Styela clava: one gene and its partners. The protein of the gene in region 2 purifies or fractionates together with the protein of the main gene of each other region. This does not show direct contact. Links are inferred from orthologs where the notes say so. Each region holds a gene or a part of one and is shown on either strand. Other genes may lie near its edges.

Evidence for each region.
Region 1: the proteins of E3 ubiquitin-protein ligase KCMF1-like (region 2) and protein NipSnap homolog 3A-like purify together in Homo sapiens (affinity purification with mass spectrometry; 4 studies listed by BioGRID and IntAct, counting the BioPlex papers as one, with this or other methods). This does not show direct contact. The link is inferred for Styela clava from reciprocal best matches to the Homo sapiens genes KCMF1 and NIPSNAP3A.
Region 3: the proteins of E3 ubiquitin-protein ligase KCMF1-like (region 2) and acyl-coenzyme A thioesterase 9, mitochondrial-like purify together in Homo sapiens (affinity purification with mass spectrometry; 3 studies listed by BioGRID and IntAct, with this or other methods). This does not show direct contact. The link is inferred for Styela clava from reciprocal best matches to the Homo sapiens genes KCMF1 and ACOT9.

What each region holds. Positions count from the first base shown.
Region 1 is NC_135263.1:19,597,433-19,605,440, forward strand, and holds the start of protein NipSnap homolog 3A-like, read left to right. Parts: upstream 1-4,894; 5' UTR 4,895-5,034; coding exon 5,035-5,085; intron 5,086-5,924; coding exon 5,925-6,141; intron 6,142-7,383; coding exon 7,384-7,545; intron 7,546-7,627; coding exon 7,628-7,777; intron 7,778-8,008.
Region 2 is NC_135258.1:14,976,149-14,983,179, reverse strand, and holds the start of E3 ubiquitin-protein ligase KCMF1-like, read right to left. Parts: upstream 3,041-7,031; 5' UTR 3,026-3,040; coding exon 2,990-3,025; intron 2,076-2,989; coding exon 2,006-2,075; intron 1,521-2,005; coding exon 1,353-1,520; intron 930-1,352; coding exon 790-929; intron 359-789; coding exon 214-358; intron 1-213. UniProt on the Homo sapiens protein: E3 ubiquitin-protein ligase which accepts ubiquitin from an E2 ubiquitin-conjugating enzyme and then transfers it to targeted substrates, promoting their degradation by the proteasome.
Region 3 is NC_135263.1:10,833,328-10,839,543, reverse strand, and holds acyl-coenzyme A thioesterase 9, mitochondrial-like, read left to right. Parts: upstream 1-4,096; 5' UTR 4,097-4,222; coding exon 4,223-5,494; 3' UTR 5,495-5,682; downstream 5,683-6,216. UniProt on the Homo sapiens protein: Mitochondrial acyl-CoA thioesterase. Catalyzes the hydrolysis of acyl-CoAs into free fatty acids and coenzyme A (CoA), regulating their respective intracellular levels. Regulates both mitochondrial lipid and amino acid metabolism.

The DNA of each region.
Region 1 (8,008 bases), on a different chromosome or scaffold from region 2:
CTCGTTTCAGTATAAAACTGTAATGAAAACGACTTCGGCTAATGAGTATTTACGTTTGTAAGGTGTCAGGCCGGCGATAATGAGGCTTTGAACTCGGCGATAACTGAGCAGTAATTTAGGCGCGCGGCTTCATTATCACCTATCTGGCACCTTATCTAATCTCCGTGCATGGATATCACTTCACTCAGGCCATCATGAAGAATGTGCGTCACAATAATTTGGCTCGCCTATACAACAAGTGAGTGGTTAACCATATGTATATATGTCTTTGTACATCTTTCACTTCTTTTGTATTAACATGTTTTTATTTTGTTTTAGGGAGGCTGGAACAAGAGACCTGATCAAGCATGTCATGACGCTGTGCTATATACCACCTATGTTTATTACGTCCAGATTCAAATCACTGAAAGAAAAGAAGCAAACTCAAGAACTTCGCCGAATATTTTCAAAACACAAGCTATACAACAGTGTCTGGACTCCCAATGATTGGTCAGTATTCGACGTAGAAATAAGAACCAACAATCATCTGGAAGGTTGGCACCGCCATTTTAACAGTATAACTCGGAAAAATATGCCTTTTTACAGTTTAATCTCAACAATGTACGAGGTAAGTATAGGGATAGAGGTGGACGTTGTGGAGATTTTGGAAGAGAATGTTGTGGGGCGTGTCAACGGCAGGTATGCGGAAGCCAACGAGAGGGCCGCAGTATTGCAAAGAGTAAGTATGTAACGCAGCAAATTTCCCAAAACGTTTAGTATTCAAATAAAATTCATTATTCGTAACGAAAAAGAAAACAAAACCTTCCATCCATTAACCCTACCAAAGTATTTTAAGTTAGATCACGAAATTGCTACAGCAATATTATGCTATTGTTTGCCAACCACGAAGCGGTAGCAGTAAAGGATTTAGCGAATATTTCTATTTTTTATCACGGTTTGAAGTTTCAACTCCCAAGAAAAAAAATGTCTTTTTTCTATCCGGTTTGTGACTCAGACCACCACTTTTAAAAAAACTTTAAATAAGCTTCCCAACGAGCCGTCAGTGGGCAGCAGAGGATTAGTTTTTTTTCGTTAGTCGATCGAATAGTTGTGGGGGTACAAATGCATAAAATCGGCGTAGCAAATATGATTATTTAATAAAAATCGCATGGAAAAGGTTAAATTTCCCCATAACGTTTAGTATTCAAATATCATATTAAATTCATTAATCGTAACAAAAAGTAAACATCATTTTAGGTGTCGCTGCCTGAAGACCTCTTGAGGTCCCTCGCGACTCCTGTCACACAATTTAAGTTATTTTCCACTTGTATTTGTAATATTTTTTCATATATCATACCATGTTTAAATTGTGTTGATGAATAAATGATGATTGATTGATTGATTATCCATACTTCGGCCCAGTTTCTTTGCCAGGCGCAGCGACAGTGCCTATCTGTTCCTGGTTTTCTTCTGCAAAAAGAAATTCCAACTCTATGACTGAAACCTTGCCGTGGTGAGTTGGCTCACAACTAATATCAGTCGGCACTAAGTAAATGCTATGCAACTCTTGAGTCTGCGTTTTGCAAAGCAATGTCTTCTCCTCGAGCATCGATATCGCAGATAAGAGCGATTGCTCGACTGATGAGTTGTCTGCCTCTCGTTGCTCGGTAGTCGAGTTGTCTTCACCTCGAGCATCGATGACGTCACGTCGCAGAGCGTTTGCTCGACTGGTGAGTTGACGGCCTGTCGGGCGACTGCCGTCGGCGAGTTTAGACTACTGCAACCATAGACTACTGAGCTCACATTCATTAATATTTAAGTGTTACTGTGAAGTCTGAAGGTTTTAATATATTTGAAGGTGCTCATTCAAAACATTTAATACCAATAAAGTTCAAAAAATTAAACGAACACAGTCCTATAAGTCAACAGTCTAACTTCTCTAACGTTACCCAATTTCGTCTGTAGACTGTATTTGTATTCATACAACATGATCAAAATAAGCCACTTATACAAATAAAAAGCATAGCCTATGGCATATTTATGTATTTTTCTCATAACGTCAATTCCTTTCTATTTTCCACAACAGTTAAGTGTAATAAATAGCATCATAATCTGTTTCAATGGAACAGCAAGATGACTCTATGACTGAACCGTCGACAGAACCTCAATACAGAGAGGCTGATCTAATCATTAAAATTCGGGAACTTAATCCGCACATTGTGTGTGCATTATGTGCTGGATATTTTATTGATGCAACAACAATTACTGAATGCTCTCATACTTTTTGCAAGGGTTGCATTGTCAAACATTTTCAGACTAAAAAATCTTGCCCAGAGTGTGGAGATGAAGTCCATGAAACACAACCTTTGAACAACCTACGAAGTGATCGTGTTATGCAAGATGTCGTTTATAAGTTGGTCCCAAACCTTTTTAAAAATGAACAAGAAGCAGAGGCAACATTCTACAGATCAAAAGGAATCGATTTCACTTTGAGTGGAAGTCATTTGTTAAACATTGGTACCCCTCTAAAATATACCCAACAAAAACTTATTCGTGATACCAGTAATGCAGAAGTGCCATCAATTGACGTTTATAAGATATCAAACTATAATGTTGCACATACAATTCAATATGATGAGAAACTCATTATTTTTTTGACTATGCATCCTGGTATGTTGTCAGAGGTATTTAATAATGGCAGCAATTCATTTTATAAAGGAATATCATTTACGCCTTTTCTGAAAAATTATGTGAGATGTTCATCGAGAGTGACTATTTATTACTTAAAAAAACTGATAAGGCTAAAGTTGAATCCAATTTTGAAAATGCATGAAGATTTGCAAATTAACATTTATTCTGAAGAGAAAATCTTACCGGATAGTGTAATTATGAAAAAAATATTATTAGACCAGCTTTCACTGAACAGCCCATATATTTTATTGTCGTACGATTTCCAAATGCTGAATAAGATTCAATAAATATAAACAAACAAAAATCAAAGTACTCCTTCGTTAAAATATCAAAAAATCTCCTTTACTAAATGATACTTCTAGATTTTATGAAATCATCTTCTTAACGAAATTGGTTTTAAGCAGTGGTACCTATCCTACTTTTAGTTTTATTTTGTTCAAATGGAATGATGTGTAACTGTTGTAGACTTGGATCCAAATATCAGTTTTGTATCTTTTATCATCCAACCAGAAAATACCTAGTCCCATATCATTATTTGGAATCTGAATGCATGTTAATATTTGTCAGTCTCTTTTATTTTTCTACACGAGTTTTGATGTGCATTTAGGGCCAATGCATCACATCACCAATGTTCTAAATATGAAGTTGAACCATCAATATTCTAAAACAAAGTACTGACCGATATTGACATACCATGAATTTTGATATGATACTAATTCATTTATTACAGTGGTTCTCAACCTGTGGTACGCGGCCAGATTTACGGTAAATTATTGCAACAATTGACTTTTGAGTTGGCTAAAATATGCCGACAACGCTTCTATTTCATATTGTATGTATTCGCTGAACGGCCTTTATGAATATTTCACGGGCATCAATTTCCTTGTTTATTTCTGTAACCATAACCAATCAGCAAAAAGTCAACAATGACTTAACAATTGCAATTTCTGCAGCCGCTCAGACACTTCTGTCGCTCAGACAGATATTCAAGTATGGTTGTAAAGTAAACATTGCCTCGTTTTTAGAGTTTTGCGAGTTATTTGTTAGTTTTCAGTTATTTTGAAAAAATAGTTGTAAATTAAATATCATTATGTCTCCAAAGGAGCATTAATTTAGTTGCTGTAATCAAAAATGAGTCTCGCAAATGCTGCGATAGACCAGTCTAAACTAAGCTATCAGTGCCACATGGTTGATTAATTTAAATAAAAATTAGGGCTTCAAACATGTAAACCACCTTATAAGCGCCAACGCATCGAAACACTTTCTAAAATTTTTTGCAATAGTAAAGTATAGTAAGAGTTTTTCTGGGGTCAAGGGTTGGAGAAACGTCCTATTTACCAGTCTAGTCTTTAAGAGATCGCCCTTGTCTGCTACTGTCCCCGAATGAATCAAGATGGGCATGTTTCGTCCATCTTGCGAATTGAGTCACGAAGGATGAAGTGCCACATTATAGAATACTCCCATAGCGTGTGTCATGTGCCATTGTTCCCCACGCCAAAAAGGTGCTTTTTTAGTTGTACGCGGCAAAAAACAGTTGAGTGGTACACGGTCAGTAAAAGGTTGAGACCACTGATTTATTAGGAAAGAATATCCAAAATAATGAATGATATGTGTATACTGAAACCTTTTTAAAATGTCATTGTTTGATGGATGTTGGGATAGATTTTGGTTGTAGGTTGATCATTTTTAGATAAATAAATTTACAGAAGTTATTGTTGTTTTTTCTTATCTGACATGTCATTTTTTTGCTCAATCATCTGTTTCTATACCATAAATTGCAATTGCCACTATTAAGTTTTCAAAACTCACATATTTGGGAAATTTCATTGAAGTCAGGCATTTTGATGTTTAAATTGTGCTTCATGAAAATCATATAAGGTAGTTTTATGATTCCAGATGGCTTATCTGTAACAGGGATATGGGGTCAAAGAATAGTTCATACGACTACAATAGAAATTGACTACAGCTGTAGATTTAAGGGTGAAAACTATGTAACCCCAACTACTATTTTCCCACCTTTATAAGTTTGGCTTGAAAATTCCAATTTTGATTCGTTGGAGGTTAGGTTTCAATTCCAAACTTTATGTAATATAAAGGGCTCCAATATGAGGAGATTTGGCTAATCCCTCAAAACACTGGTTATCAGAAAAGGATTTTATATATCGTAGGATTTTATATCAACTAGCTTAAAAATAGGAAAGCCCTCAACTTCAAGCTTTAACAATCCAAAATTAGATTTATGAACTTTAAATTCATCAAGACTTATAAGCAGTTTAACTATGAACTACATTTCATGTTTTGTTTTCTCATTATTTTTTACACCAGAGATTATGAATATTTACTAGTTTTTAAAATTACTCAATCATGTTGAATATTTCATTGAGATTAAGTGCAATCAAGAGAATATTTTCTAATGTAAGTAACTTTTATTGATTATTTGAAGTGGTTCTAATTTTAGGTTGATATCTTGGATTGAAGAATTATTCTTTTCAGAGTAATAATAAATTATATGACTATATTATCTGCTCAAAGCTAGCTCAACTTATTCAGAGTACAGGAAACTCGTTCAAAACCAAATTTCCAAATGACCGATGATATTTAAGAAGGATAAGAACTTTAATAATCCTTGGTCCAGATCACTAAAAAATGCACTAGGTACAATTGTGATAAATTGGTTATAACGCAAATATTATTTTGTATGGTTAAGCCGGAATTTCAAATTATATCACATAATTACGATTTCAATTCAATAGTTAACGTAAATTTAGGCGTCGCGGAAAACAATATCAAGCAAACTGAACAACAATCAGTTTTTTTGTAACTTCAAATCGGCTCAGACTTGTTTTACAGATGTGATGTGTCCGGAAAAAAAAGTTAGAAAATAGCAGAATTTTGCACAAAATGATCCGTTACACAACGGGGCACTTTAGATCGACTAGGTGTCGTTCTGTGTTTTCGGAAGGCATGTGCATTATACATTTATCCTTACGTTGTGTTTGTCATTGCCATACCATTTGATGGAGTTTTCAAACTCGCCGATATATATATAGTGTTGTGTCGACCCTTGTGTGCGCGCGCACAAGTAATGTTTACGAGCCTTTAAGCGAGTTTGCTTTGCTGAAGGCTGCAAATCACCAGGTGACTGTTTTTTTATATATTTACCGAAGTCTTGAAATTACGAACGTGCTTGTGATTCAATCCTCGATTCGTTATTTTTAGCTTGTTATTAGGAGATATCTAAATGTTGCTTGCAGGGCATTGCGGCATCATCCAGCCGATATGTATCGACAGATACAGGAGAATCTAATATATATGAACTTCGAAAGTATTCATTAACACCACATGGCATGCCAAAGTTTTTAGAGTTATTGGAGAAAAATTATCATCTCCGAACCCAACATTCTCCTTTTTGGGGGTATTGGATTGCAGACCTGGGGGCTTTGAATCAAGTCATACATATTTGGGAATATGGTACGTCTTTTTCTTGTGTTTATTGTGTACATATATCAGCGGTTTTCATAGGGGGTACTAGTACTTCGCGGCGATTTGCTTAGCGCGCCCTAAAATTAACGGAATTCTGTTAAACATATCTAACTAATACCGTGTTTCCCCGAAAATAGGACTGGGGGTTATTTCAATTTTCTTTCGAAAAATAACACTAGGGCTTACTTTCGGGGGATGTCTTTTATTTATCAAAACAAAATTACAAAGTAAAAAATTACGAGATTTTCGAATATACAAAATATGAAAACCGATATCCATTAACAATTTTACTCTCTCACACGTTTTAGACGGTGACCGTACATTTGAACCCACGTACATTTGAACCCGTGTGCATATCCACGGGTTCAATCTATATGCGGGTGTTAAAACCCATGGGTTAGGGTTAGTATGGGTTCAACTATCCGTAAAACAAAAAAAATTCCATAGGTGCAATAGCATACAGGTGCAATTGTCATGGGTTCAAATGTACGTGGGTTCAAATGTAATGGAACCGTTTTAGACTAATCATTTAAAACGTATTGGAGGGATTTCTTGCCATCGACTAGGTCAAAAAAAATTTTGAGTATTTGACTAGGTCTTATTTTAAAGGGTGGGCTTATATTAAAATCATTTTTAAAAGTCAGACTAGGTCTTATTTTCAGGGAAACACGGTATATCATTGAGTATTTCACATATTGTATTTATTATAAAAATATTTTACTGTTCCCTATTTTAAATGGTGTGTATATGATCAATAAATTCATTTTACCGCTTTATGTGGTTTACTTCATGTTGGATAGTACCTGCCTCTTGAGGTCACGTAACAATAGAGTTACTTGCTTGCTGCAATTTCGTGGGCTGCATTTTATTTATTTGCTAAACCGAGTTTAGCGAACATGGGTGCTTTTTTTAGTATTTCGACGAAAAATCGGGCAGAAATGAGGAATAAGCGTTGAATTTTTGCCTTCATTCTTTGGGCCTACATGTTTACAAACTTTAAAAGGCATTAGGTACTCATTAATGATCGCAATATTGAGGAAAGCACTTTTTTTCGAGGAAGTGCCCGGAATCCACATAGGCCTAGCTTTGACAGGTGCCATTTGACGTCACTTTTTGTGATTGTCTTCATTTTTGATCTAACCTCAAAAAATGAAGCTGATCAAGAAGGCAATAAAACTGAATGAAATCAAAATGCTACATTACTTAAGTTCAGTTTATGTAATTTTCCAGAAAACTTTGCCCACAGAACCGCTGTAAGAACTGCTTTAGCGAAAGACAAGGAGTGGCAAGAATCATTTGTTCAAAAAGCATTTCCATATGTCGCTCATCAAACTAATTCTATCGTCTTGAAAGCTAATTGGTGCGATTTACACATGGATAAGACTGACACAGGTGGGCGGTGAATTATTTTGTAACCATAGTTGCAACTGACAGATGGTCGCTGGTGTTTATAAATATATATCTATTTAACAAGGATGCTTTGAACTATCAACATATGGAATGAGGGTTGGAGGTCCTCGGGTTTGGGAAGAAAATTTGAAAAGTTCATTGCTTGCGCATGCAAGACTTGAATATGCGGACTTGATTGGAACTTGGTATACGGATGTCGGAGACCACAACACAGGTTAGCTAATTATTACTTATAATATATTACCTATTGCTTCTAGAGTCCCATCGCTTATAAGCATAGCATTTCTACTTTCCTGGAATTACTTTTTATTTCATAGATTGGTATGTTGTGTTCACTTTTGGTACGAAATAAACAAGTGTTTAAAAAAATAATACCATTCTTTTCGAAAGGACCAACGTGCCCTACCCATATTATATATACTCTGTCATATTTTTCATTATGATT
Region 2 (7,031 bases):
AGAGTTAATTTTGAGCATTGCAACTGATATCTGACAGACTAATAAACACACAGGTTCACTCCATTTTACATATCACGACACCATTAATTGACTCATCAATTATTTCTATTCAAAGATCCAAATTCATTCTGAAAACCTATCCATACTATACATCAAAGTGTATATTAGTAGTGTATTAAAAACTATGTTATGTTTCATCAAATAAACTCTCACGTCTCATGCTTTGCCGACCTCCTATTGGGTCCTCAATGGTCGCAGTACGATGTGATGTGTTGTGTTCAATGGCAAGATGGGTGGCAAAGTCATCAGTTACATGATTTGGATCTCCAGTTGGTATTGCAGCACATATTGGGCAGACCTGAAAGTTTAGCAATATTATCAGCTTTGTACCAGAAAAGGGGAAAAATAACGTGTATTCACTTCGGTCAAGTGGGGCAAAAAGTGCCTTGTTACATGAATCAGCATTCTCACATTGTGAATCTGGAATGTCTGCTGCGAATATTATAAATGATGTTGCCGCATTTGTGCGAGCATCACGAGCAAATGCAGTTACCGGTACCATCATGTGTAGTAAGTTAGGAAAACAAGGTGCTTTGCTTTGGTGCATAACTGAAGAACAGAAAAAAATAACACAATTTTTCAGCCTCTGCTTATTGGGCAGTAATATGGAAAAACCTAAATTTTAGTGCTAAAAGTGGTTTTGGATTAGTTGCAGAATTGCTAAATACAGTATTTCAGAACGAGAATTAGTTTAAACGCCTCCTCCAAAATTTTATTTCTAGAACTTACCACTTCTACACTAGTTTCAAGATGTTGAGAATTAACATGTTCTTGTAAATTAACTTCTGTGAAACCTTTCTTTCCACAAAGTGGGCAAGTCAGTGATGGTGGACTGTCCATTCCTATACCTTCACCTCCATAGAAAAGATCTGGATCACAAAAAGAAAGGAGATAAAAAAAAAATTGAATAAGAAACGATAGCTCAAATGTAATATTCACAGTATCAGAAATATATCATTTATTTGGTCATAGCCAAAATACAAATACATAACGAATATTGATACGATAATAAAGGCATTGCTATCAGAAAGCTTGGTGAAAATGCTTTGCAATATAAATGATTTGATTTCAATTATCTTATATCAATACACATGAAGAAAATGACTTTGTTACATGGGTATCCAACATAAAATTTATCTATACAACATAAAATTTGTGTATAAACATTGCCAAATTTGGTAAAAAATGATAAAATTTCATCAACATTACAATTACAGCATTAGCCTATATAAATTTTGAAGCCTGATTTTTGGTTTCCAATTAAGTATATTATTTTAAGAAATGAAACTTACCAAAGGCGTGCTTTGTTAAAATACATTGCATTGGATGAGAAGGAGAGTGACGTGATGTACTGACATTGTTATCGTAGCAAATCTCACAGAGATCGTAATCGTAGCAAATTAAACATTTGAAACGCTTTTGTCGAAAATTGCTCATTAAGCAATTATCACAGCTGACTCCTAAAATAATATATAATAGGCTACAATATATATATATATCTAGGCTTTGGACAATTTTATGGTTATATATTGCTAAACTGGCAGAAGTACAATGAGCCTTAAATAGGAATAGTCTGCTACCTTCCATTACAATTACACCCGAAGTATATAACAGGGTTTTCACCTTTTTCGTGGGGCGGAACCCCAATGAGATTCGAGGAACCTATGTGCAATTGATTATATGTATATTTGTTATCACAAAATTTGCCAATCAGAAAAATGTGAAACAAATAATTTGACGCCTATTACTACTGACCTATCACACTATCCCAAACACACAGTTTGCTGGTCCAATTAAAAAAGGAATGTAAATGTTTAAGTGGGAAAATTTTCTGATGATTGTCTACAATCCACAGTAATTATAATGAGTCATGTATAACTGTAGTGAGCTGGAATGACCTATTACATATATAAAATATGATTAGCATATTTTCATAATAACATACCTTCATGACGTGACATAATGTGTTTCCAAAAGTTAGTTCGTTCAGTAACTATTATACTGTATGAAATGATCTGGAAATATAACTCAAAAAATTAAATCTAAATAATATTTTAATGAGTAATATGGTTTTGAAATATATGATAGAAAACTTGACATGGAATGGTTATCTATGACAAAAAATAGTATATTTCTGTATACAAAAGATTGGATACGACTACAACTTAATCTTTTACAACCCAAATAATAGCAAAACAAAAATATGCATAATATGTTCGATCAGACCCATGTATACCAGTACCAAAATAATATGAAATTGAGTTAGTTACCAACTCTTGATGTAATCATTTTCCATTAAATCTGTTTTTTTATGTAAATCTTATATGGACCATTTAATTAAATACATAAATAGGAAATTTTACTCTGAACATTCTTAGCTTGTTAAATATGTTCCCTCCTATCATGGACTTCAACTATTCTACTAGAACATGCTTTATTCAATGGCACATCTTTAGATACACCTGGATTTTTTTTTGCATTGCAGTAATATTAATTACTTCTCACCCAGATATACCGTATTTCCCGGTGAATAAGTCTACCTGGTGAATAAGACGAGCCCCGTTTTTACGCCTGGAAAAATGGGTTTTTGCATATAACTTGCAAATAAGACGGGTAGTAAAATCGCATCAACATCGGAATCTCAAATTACCATGCTTTGCATGCAAAGGCTTTTGAGCGGCCGCCGCGTTTGCGCATTGGTTAAAATAGCCGATTATGTTTTTTTCGTAATATTCAATCCATAACAACTACAGGAATTCAAACATTCTTTCAATTTCTATCTAATTGTGTTCAACTTATAGGAACATTGCCTAACACGGCAATCTGTGGACATAATAATGTGAGATAAACTACCTGATTATATTTAGATTTTATAAATAAATATACCGGTACATATAAAGTGTATATATGAAACATACATGTTCATCACCTGAAAATCTCCACAAAACGAAATGTGTTTCTTCATTGATTTAATTGTGAATTGTGATCGATTTAATTGTGATCAATTTAATCCGCGATTGGGACAATATAAATAGTATCACTGCTACAAATTACCAACGCAATCCGTGGACATAAACATGTACAATTATATGTTGTTTTGATTCGTATTTTTGCAATTTAAAAAAATATCTGAGTTGTTGCTGCAACAATTTCGCTTTATCGCAATGCTGCCACTCATTATTTCGAGGATTGCACGGTAGGAAAAAACCTTAAGTCAGCAATGATATCCCACCGAGTAAAATTGATGTAAAAAAAAATGAATTAAATATACTTTACATTACCGTAATTACGATATTAAACATATATCATGGTCGCGTCAGGGGATGCTATCGCCGAAGGTATTTTATGGTCCGAATTGAATAATAAAGCGAAACCAAAAAAGGAAAATAAGTTTCCATACACGTCTAATAAGATGATCCCCCCAAAATCAGGTCAAAAATTTGGGCCTAGAAAAGCGACTAATTCGCTAGAAAATACTTTTTGGAATGAAGTTCTTGTTAACAATAATTTTAGAATCAGGATTCATATTATAGGCTATTAATTATGACCATCAATGCAATTGACCGGGGTTAATAAAACAAGACTCTAAGCTGTTCAAGTGAAAGTGGTCATAAATACAGCAAGTCAGAAGTGAAATCCGTAATGCATATCTTTCATCTTGGTACTGAATGACAATTTTGTCACAACGCAAAGGCAAAAAATATTTGTGAGAAACAAGAAAAAAAAAGTCATTACCGGTATACCATATTTTAATATCTATTTTAAAACTTTACGAGTTCAGAACAATTTTTCAAATATTTAAATGAAGTATATTATAAAATTAGTTCTGTTATTATATTCAATTTAAAGTTTCAACTTTTTGGAGAAATCTTGGGCCAGCCCAAGCGTTGTAGTTGAAATCATAATTTTAAGCATTTGGGTATATTGGGATATTGAAATTTCCAAACTTTGTCTTACACTTCTCTGTCCTTCTCTTGATAAAACTGAATAATAGGTAATCAATTTTCTATAACCATAGTTATCATAATAGGGTGAGAACAAAAAAAAATATGCCAGTACTGCTGTTGACAAACAGAATAGCAAATAATAGATTAATTGATTGGAGAAAAATAGTTTAATCCAGTAATGTAATCTCAATCCCCCCAAATTCTAATAAGTAATCTGTCAGCTTTGTTCAGGATTGTCTGTGTAAATTTATGTACAATTCTCAATTTGTTTTTTTCATTCATTGGATTGCTATTGGCTAACACCAAGAAACCAAAAAAAAGATTCGATCATTTACGAAAAAGTCTCCGAAAAACAGCATTTCATCTGGCAGGAAGATTACTGTTTCATTAAAAATTCAGAGGTCCTCATTCAGTCATTATTGAATTGAATTCTCATCCACAAAAAGTGAATGTTTTTGAGAGTAACCATCTCTAAATAAACTGATGTTAAATACATCAGAAGGCAATGGTAGATAGACATATTGAAGTTAATAATAGTTAACTAAGCTACTTGCAAAATAACCTGCATTAATGCATTAGGCAGTTACAGAGTTAGGTGATGATACACACTGATTTTAAGTGTGAAGCGTGCTTAGTGGTCCATAGCTTTTATATAAAATATTGTCGAGATGTGAAACAATTACCGTAATGTCAGAATGAGTTGTGTGCTAATCATAATATGGCATAATTGCTATTCAAAATTAAAAATAGTTACTAGAGTTGACCAAGACGAAAAAAAGCACTTCTCTGCAAATAAATTTCCCATATCACGAGTTACCAAATTTTGTTATTAACAAGGGATAGCCTGTATATGGAATATAAAAATATACAGATATATGAATAAACGAGTGATAACTGTGTACCGTAAGGTAGTAAATTGTAACTTGAATTTTCTGAGTGACAGAAGGTTGAAATGCCAAATATCAGAATGTAGTTCGAAGCGTTAATTCACCATAGAATTAAAGAATCACGGGCCTAACTCACATCCTGACATCTCTGCTTGCACCCATGGCTTCCTGGTAGACTTAATTCTGTAATTCAGTACCGGTACCGTCTGACGCCTGACCTGACGGTACGGTCATCTACATTCTGACATTGTGACATGTTTGAGCGTATAATTCCAAGTGCAGTTTCAAGTATTTTGTGGCGTCTACAGCTGCCGCAAAACCATGGCGGGATTTCCAAACCACGGCCACTAAGACCAAACCCACGGCGACTGACTTTTTAGCTGCCACAAACCAATACTGCAATAGCGAGCTGCCGTGGTTACGGCAGCAAATCGAATACCACCAATTTTACTGCCGTAACCACGGCAGGTCGGCTGTAATAGCAGGGCTGCCCCTAATCTGCTGATGGTGATAAATATTTGGTGAGTTGGAATGTTTTTCTTATGGATACAGTTTGGATGGATTTGGGGTTAGGGTTAGGGTTTAAGTAGATATAATTTCGCATGATAAACTTAAATATGGTACATGAATTTGTAAATATACCGGTAATAGCGCCATAAAACCATGGCAGGAGACGGCGTGGTACGTTCGTGGCAGGAGCTGCCATGAAGTGGTAAGAACTGCGCCTCTATAATTCAGTAATTGCTGAATTGTTAGTACCGGTATCGTACAGCTCAAAGACAAAAATACTGACGTACAGAGTTCGGCCGATTCACGTAATATATTTTTTTCGATTGGCTCACCCAATGAGTGATTTTAATAAATATGCAAAAAATGAATAAATGTACAAATTAAAATAAGTCCATATTCCATTAAATTCATAATCCATTCACGTAATATTACTGACCTAAAGACTCATATCCTCGTTCCCGCTACACTAGATATTTGACCTTACTCGCAACAGACAATCCTACCAGTCTGCCAGTCGCTTGTTAACGGCGAAGAACTGAAGAACAAGGAACAGCAGAACAAGGACAGACAATATCAGTCGCAGAAAATCGTTTACTATTTATTCATTTTGACGTCATGTGACATGAGTCGTGTCTAGCCGTGTTGAAAAAAACTGAAATGATGGTGATTTTTACAAATGAAAAACGCATACATTGCCATGAAAAAACGCAAATTTAAATTACCACATACTGACATATCGCTATGCGTGCGCATAATATCGCTTCAATTTTCTCAACCAAATGAATCTTTGCAAAGCGTTCGTGAATGGCGTCAACACAAGCTTTACACAAGCACAGAATCAATTCAGTGATAGGATAGGATATACATATTTATCCCGGGAGAGAGGAAAGTGATGAACGGCTTAATCATATGGCGAACCACTGCCTCTTGTCCGGTTACCAGTCCAAGTCGGGTATGGGATTAGTTAGCCAGTTATTTGTTTTCGGAAGCATGGACTTGATGGTGTTCGTGAATGACATCAACTCAAGCTTTACACAAGAACAGAATCAATTCAGTGATAGGATAGGATATACATATTTATCCCGGGTGAGAGGGAAGCCACTAAACGGCTTAATTATATGGCGAACCACAGCCTCTCGTCCGGTTACCAGTCCAAGTCGGGTATGGCCTATGGGATAAGTTAGCCAGGTATTTGTTTTCGGAAGCATGGAATCAGTGATTTCCCTACACCCCCCCTATAGGGGGTGAACACCCCCCCTAAAATTTCAAACACCCCCCCTAATTTTGAGATGCAATTCCACACTGAGGGGTTCTAAACCGCAGTCTGCGGGCCAATTAGGGCCCGCGTAACGATTTAAAATGGCCCGCCGAACTTAAGTGAAATAGTTTAACCCTTCATGTGGTACCTTTTGAGTTTTAGATATCGTCTATTGTTACATCATTATCACAGTTTAAGCACGTTTATTTCGTAACAATTGAATTATCCGATATCTTATGTATACGTATGGGTATTAGCATTACACTGCAGTATTTTAGATATCAGCCGTATATTTAGAAAGCTTAAAGATGTCACAAAACGAAAACTAGGCACTGAAAGCAGACGGTTTTAGATGAATGACAGCGTTTT
Region 3 (6,216 bases), on a different chromosome or scaffold from region 2:
TGTGTATTTTTAGACTTTCAATATTTTTTTCAATTTCAAATTTTGTAATTGCTAAAGAAATTACTAATTGCTATTCCCGGAGTGAATTTTTTTCTTGATGTTTTTTTTTAAAGAATTAATTCCACGTCCACATTATTATATAGATAAGAGTATATAATAATCTTTAGTAAAAACTATCCTTTCAGTCGTGTGATTTATTCTGATACGTCTTTTAAAATATTTTGTTTAAACGTATTCAAGATTTAAAAAAAAGAACAACAAATAACGTTCCTGCTAGGAGAGATTTTCCTTCAGATATGAATGCTTTGGCTGAAATAAAGTAAGCAACCTGTTCTTATTTTAAATAAATCAGTTTTCATAAATAGCAGGATTAAATTGTTTACTTCACGTAACTTTGTCTGTGTAAACACTTATAGAACACAGGCGATATACGCTAGTGTGTGGTCAGCGCGTTTGCTTTGTCACGGTCCACCAAACGTATGAAGTAAGTCAGTTCATCACCTTTTGAATAGGGGTTCACGCAAGACAAGCGCTGATCTTACACAGAGAGATCCGACGCATTCTCAATTATTTTGAACAAGAATAATAATTTGTGATGTGAAAATTCTGTTGGGTATATTCAGTATTAAATTGAATGCAAAATATTTGGTTTTGGACTTCCTCCAGCCAAAGTTTTTATACAACGGACAGCGTGAAATGAATCGTGATTACGCCTTCGGGACAGTGCGTGAGTATTATCGTCCACGCTTTAGGATCAGGGAAGTCGAGTTAGGAAAAGCGTATTAGGAAAATTGATGTCACATAACTAGGGCTGGGAATTTCAGGGAAAACACTTTAACAGCGTGACGTTTGACGTAATAATTTATAATTTTAGCTTGTTACGTCTCAATGATTACAAAGCAATTTAGGGTGATCTTATCCCGCTATCGCTCAAAATTATTCGCTCTGCTAGAAGAAATATGCAGCGTGATTCGTACATGTGAAAGTATTGTAATAAAACCTGAATCCGTTATTGTATGTCATTTATGTGACAAACTTTCAGTGTTCGACTTGCAAATTCTACGCTGGGATATATATCATAAAGAAAAACAGTATCAACTGCGCACTTGTTGGATGACATTGAATATACGATTTTGCAATAAAATTGTGAACAAAATATTTTTACCGAAAACTGAATTTATCATTGTCAAATTTTCATAATCAGCATCTTGGTACTTCAATTATTGTTCACATTTATTGGGAATTAAATGCCACAGGAGATGAATTTGCGATGACGTAATCATTTTTGAAAAAATTGTACATTATAAAGATGATTTATACCTAAGATGTCAGTTAACGGTTAAAATAAATCGTAACCGTTAACCATCTAAAATCGGTTAACCGATTAACGGGTTAACTATCCCCAGCCCTACACATAACATATTTCATTTTTGAACTTCGTCATGGTCCAAAAAATGACAACATAAGTTTAGCTTATTTAACTCGAATCATTGCGGATAGCAACATCACATTACCTTGCAAAGGCTAAGCTTGCTTTTTTACCTTCCAAGCAATACATTTTAGCTTTAACCAATTTTTGTTCAAATGTTATAATCATTCATTCATCATTGTACTGTGTAGGCAAAACAAACAATGACAACCATTGTCGGGCATGCATACTGGCCAAACAATTCAATGCTAACCAATCGAGCAATTGCTACCTGAAGAATTCAATAAACTAAATTTTCAGTCGTTTTGTAAATTCAGATTTGTTGATTTGTCAGATATGGTGATGACCATTTTAAAATTTATATAATTATTCGCGAGCACGACAACCAAATTACAACTACGGCTACATAGCGCCTCGAGTGGTGCATACATTCGATAATAGTATGTATTCAGAAGTCCACAGAAATGTAGGGCCACAACTGATACTTTCCCGAGTCTTTACTCCAAACAAAATTTTTCCACGCTACTCCATTGCAAAGTTTTTATTGCTTATTTCAGGGGTATATTTGCGAGGCGCGTGCTGAAAGTTTATTTTCGAAGCTTAGTACCGTGTTTCCCAGAAAATAAGACCTAGCCCAAATTTAAAAAATTATTTCAATACAAGCCCTCTTCTTAAAATAAGACCTAGTCAATACCGCGAACTTTTTTTACTTAGTCGATAACAAGAAATCTCTCCTACACGTTTTAAATGATTGATAATCTATGTTTTGCAGTTATTTTGACTAAAAATGTGCCATGGGTATCGCTTTTCATATTTTGTATGATTGAAAATCTCGTAATTCTCTAATTTATAATTTTGTTTTTGATAAATGAAAATAAGAGACATCCCCGAAAATAAGCCCTAGTGTTGTTTTTCAGAAGAAAATTGAAATAAGAACCAGTCTTATTTTCGGGGCCGTTTTCAATAATTGGAACTAAACTAGAAGACTTCCGAGAAAGAAATGACTCCTGAAATAAACCTAAACTTTGAAAATATAACGAAAAACAAACATTTAAAATAACAAAATGAGTAAATGTTTATAAGGTAGCTTAAAAAACCTGGGTAAAAGGTGTCCGATCGATTGCTTCAAATTTCAATTATTACGCAACAGTTCTTTCTGATATTTACCATCAAATAACATTATTTTTCCTAAAATTTGTTTGATCTCCATGCTTGCGAGTCATATCCTGTGGTGGAATAAAAATAAAAAAACGGTTCTCTTTTTGTATCGATTCCACAAACAACATGTCGCCTACGTAGTCAAAAGTTTACAGTGATACTCGATTTTGAATACCTGTCAAAAATAAAAAACCTAGATAAAAGTATAATGCACTGAATATATTTGCTGACCGTAATGAGACACTCACTGAGCGCACGAGACTCTCGGCCTAATGGGACATGCGCAGATCATTTTTGTCAAGCACCGATACCGATATTTGAAATTCTCGATATTCTAATAATATGTAATCAATATCAATGTATATACGATGTTTTTTAATTACACGCTACCAAAGAGTATTTACAGAGAACATTATTTCGATCAGATATCCCAAACACGAGAACGCACAACTTTAAATCTGCATTTGTGATTAAAATTCATAAATGATGTGTCACTATAAACTCACTACGTTAGTATATTTGTCACCTATCCTGGCTCACATCCCTCATAACCAATATATTTCAATACCTACCTCAGTATCAATACCCTAATTTCATTCTATTTTACTTAAACTGTAATCAGTAGCATTTAATAATTGATGTTATCTACTAGACTACAATTTGGTAATATTTTGGCTCTTCATTGGGGAATGAAGCGGTTTAGCCTACCTCTTCATGCACCCAACTATAATACCCTTAACGAAATATTTTTTTATGTCTTATATTAGATACTGTTCACCCTTATTTACAAAATCTGTATTCAATTTGGAAACTTTCATAAAATTATCAAAATGGTCAAGCTTATTTTTTATTTTAATTCTTATTTTTTATTTTAATTCTTTTTATTTTTTGTGTACAATATAATTTATCTAAAGCTTCTCTATTTTTTCTAACTTTGTTATATCCCTGTGGTTGTGAGTGTGTGTGAACACGTACCACTTCTTTTTGACAAAAACCTTCCATCTTATATTCTGTACGTTTTAAACCTCATCCAAGGTTTCGTTTTCTCTTCTGCTTTCATAATCAGTTTTTATTTTATTTGTTTTTATCAATCATTAAATCTCCTTTTATGCTGATTATGGAATCGAAATAAACTTATCTTATCTTACTTATTTGATTGATACGCAAATTATAGCAGACGTTAGGTTTTGCCTTGGCGCTAGTAATTGGTGCACAACTAGAAAACTCATAGTAAGCCGATTACTATACATGGAAAAATACATATACTGTATTTAATATATTCATTTATTTTAAGGACACACTATACAAACTGTGGAGAGCCTTTAAATCCTTCCACGGCAAAAAATAATTCCAGTCGCAGATACCCGTATTCTAGATAAGATCAGAGAGATGTTTACTTCGGAAATATTCGATAAATTCTAGACTAGATACCACACCGGGTTTCCCCGAAAATAAGAAAGTGTCTTATTTTAAATTTATTTTCAAGAATAACACACATTGACCCCATTCTGCCCCTTTGTTACCCTATTTCGCCTTTGGACACTCATAGAATATTATAGGGGTGTCTGATTACGAATTTTGAAATTTTGTTAGAAGTTAGATATTGCACTAGCCACTAGCATATTAGCGTAATAGATGGAAGTCCGACGACTGATTGCTATAATTACCAAGTCAGTACTTAGGACAAGCTATAGGAAAGTCTCGTCATCCAGTAAAAAATGTGCAGCAATACCAACAATTCAAGAGATTAGGACACAGTTGCAGCAAACGCTCGGCGCAAGCTCAGCATGGATTAAAAGTGAAGAATATAGGGAAAAACTTGCAGCTTCTCTGCCACAGACTCAGAGTGATTTGATGCCCCGTCGGATGCAAGATAGCTATTATGAAGCTATTGTACCCTTGTCAGATCCTGTCATACGGGAAAAATACAAAGGATTATATGATAATGTAAGACTTGGACAGTTGTTGGAAAATTTGGATACGTTTGCAGTACACATCAGTTATCTACATAATAATCCTTACTCATCAAAGACAGGGGAAAGTCCTTTGTCAATTGTTACAGCAATGGTTGATGAAATAAAAATTCACAATCATTGCTTGGAATCTCAGGCAGATATATTACTTAAAGGTCATGTGACATGGACAGGGAAAAGCTCCATGGAAATCAAGATGTGGTTGACTCAATTGGCAAAACCTATCATTGATGCAACATTCGTTATGGTAGCACGAGATCCGTTAAATCGTTCTGCGATAGTTTACCCTCTGTTAATGGAAGATCCCAAAGACAAAGCTTTATTTCAGGAAGGGGAAAAACATAAAATTGAACGGTTGGAAGAGGCGAAGTATTCACTTTTGAAATATCCCCCAAAAGAAGAAGAAAGACAAGTTGTACATGACTTATTTTTACAAACATTAGACACAAAGACTATGTCTTTTCGAGGAAGACAGCTGCCAGAAGATTGTGTGTGGATGGAAGATACAAAACTGAAAAATTCAATTATTTGTTTTCCTGAAAAGCGCAACATTCACAATAAAATTTTTGGTGGTTTCCTTATGCGCACAGGTTTCGAACTTGCATGGGCGAATGCTTGTATATTTTCTAAAACAAGACCTCATGTCACAGCTGTGGATGATATTTTATTTCGTTGCCCGGTGCAAATTGGATCACTTTTGCTTATATCATCCCAAGTATGCTTTTCTCAGGGTAAGGATTTTCACATCCGAGCACATGCTGAAGTTATGGACCCACATACAGGTGTCAGTACTACTTGCAACACTTTTAACTTTTCTTTTACATGTGATAATGAAAACCTTCCCACAGTTATGCCAAGAACATATGGTGAATCCATGCTATATTTGGATGGAAGAAGGCATTACAATACCCTCAAAGGTATATCTGGCGTCTGATAAAATTATTTTCTCCAATGTAAGAAATGGTATGGCAGAATTCCTTTTCACAACCTGCAATATATTTTTTTGCTAGGTAATTTCCAGGCTGTTCTTGTTTTTCTAACTTTCATTCCATGTATCTTCTATTGTGATATCTTTAACACTTCTATTCAAGACTGATAACAATACACACAAATTAGCATTGAGTTGTTTTTCTTCTATCACCAGAGTAGAAAAAAGCACAGACAATGAGACAAATTGGTCAATCAAAGTTTATTGCATATTTTCAAAATGATCAAGATTGTTTGATTGTATAAAATAGAGATTGCACAGAGAATATAAGTAAGAATATATACAAATTATGCATCACTGCATGGCAAGGTTTACATATGCATAGGTCAAATTTTACTATAAAATGTAGTTTCTATGCTGAATCAACAATTTTTTTTAGAATCCGATGGTCTTACTCGGCGGCTCCTCCAAGCCTGAGAGGAAATACACAAACATTACTTTGTAGTCGGTGTAGCTTGTTTAATATTTTATGATTATGCTAAAAATAATTTGAATTAATCAAATTGTTGCTTGTTGGAGACAATGAAATGAAAAACAAATAAAACTGTGGACAATAAGCTTCAGGTTACTGGGTTCATTATCGAGCAGTGCAAATATCTTAAATTCTAGTAACATGATTGACTATTTCGAAGATGCATATTGCTAATATAAGCAAACTGTTGTCGGCA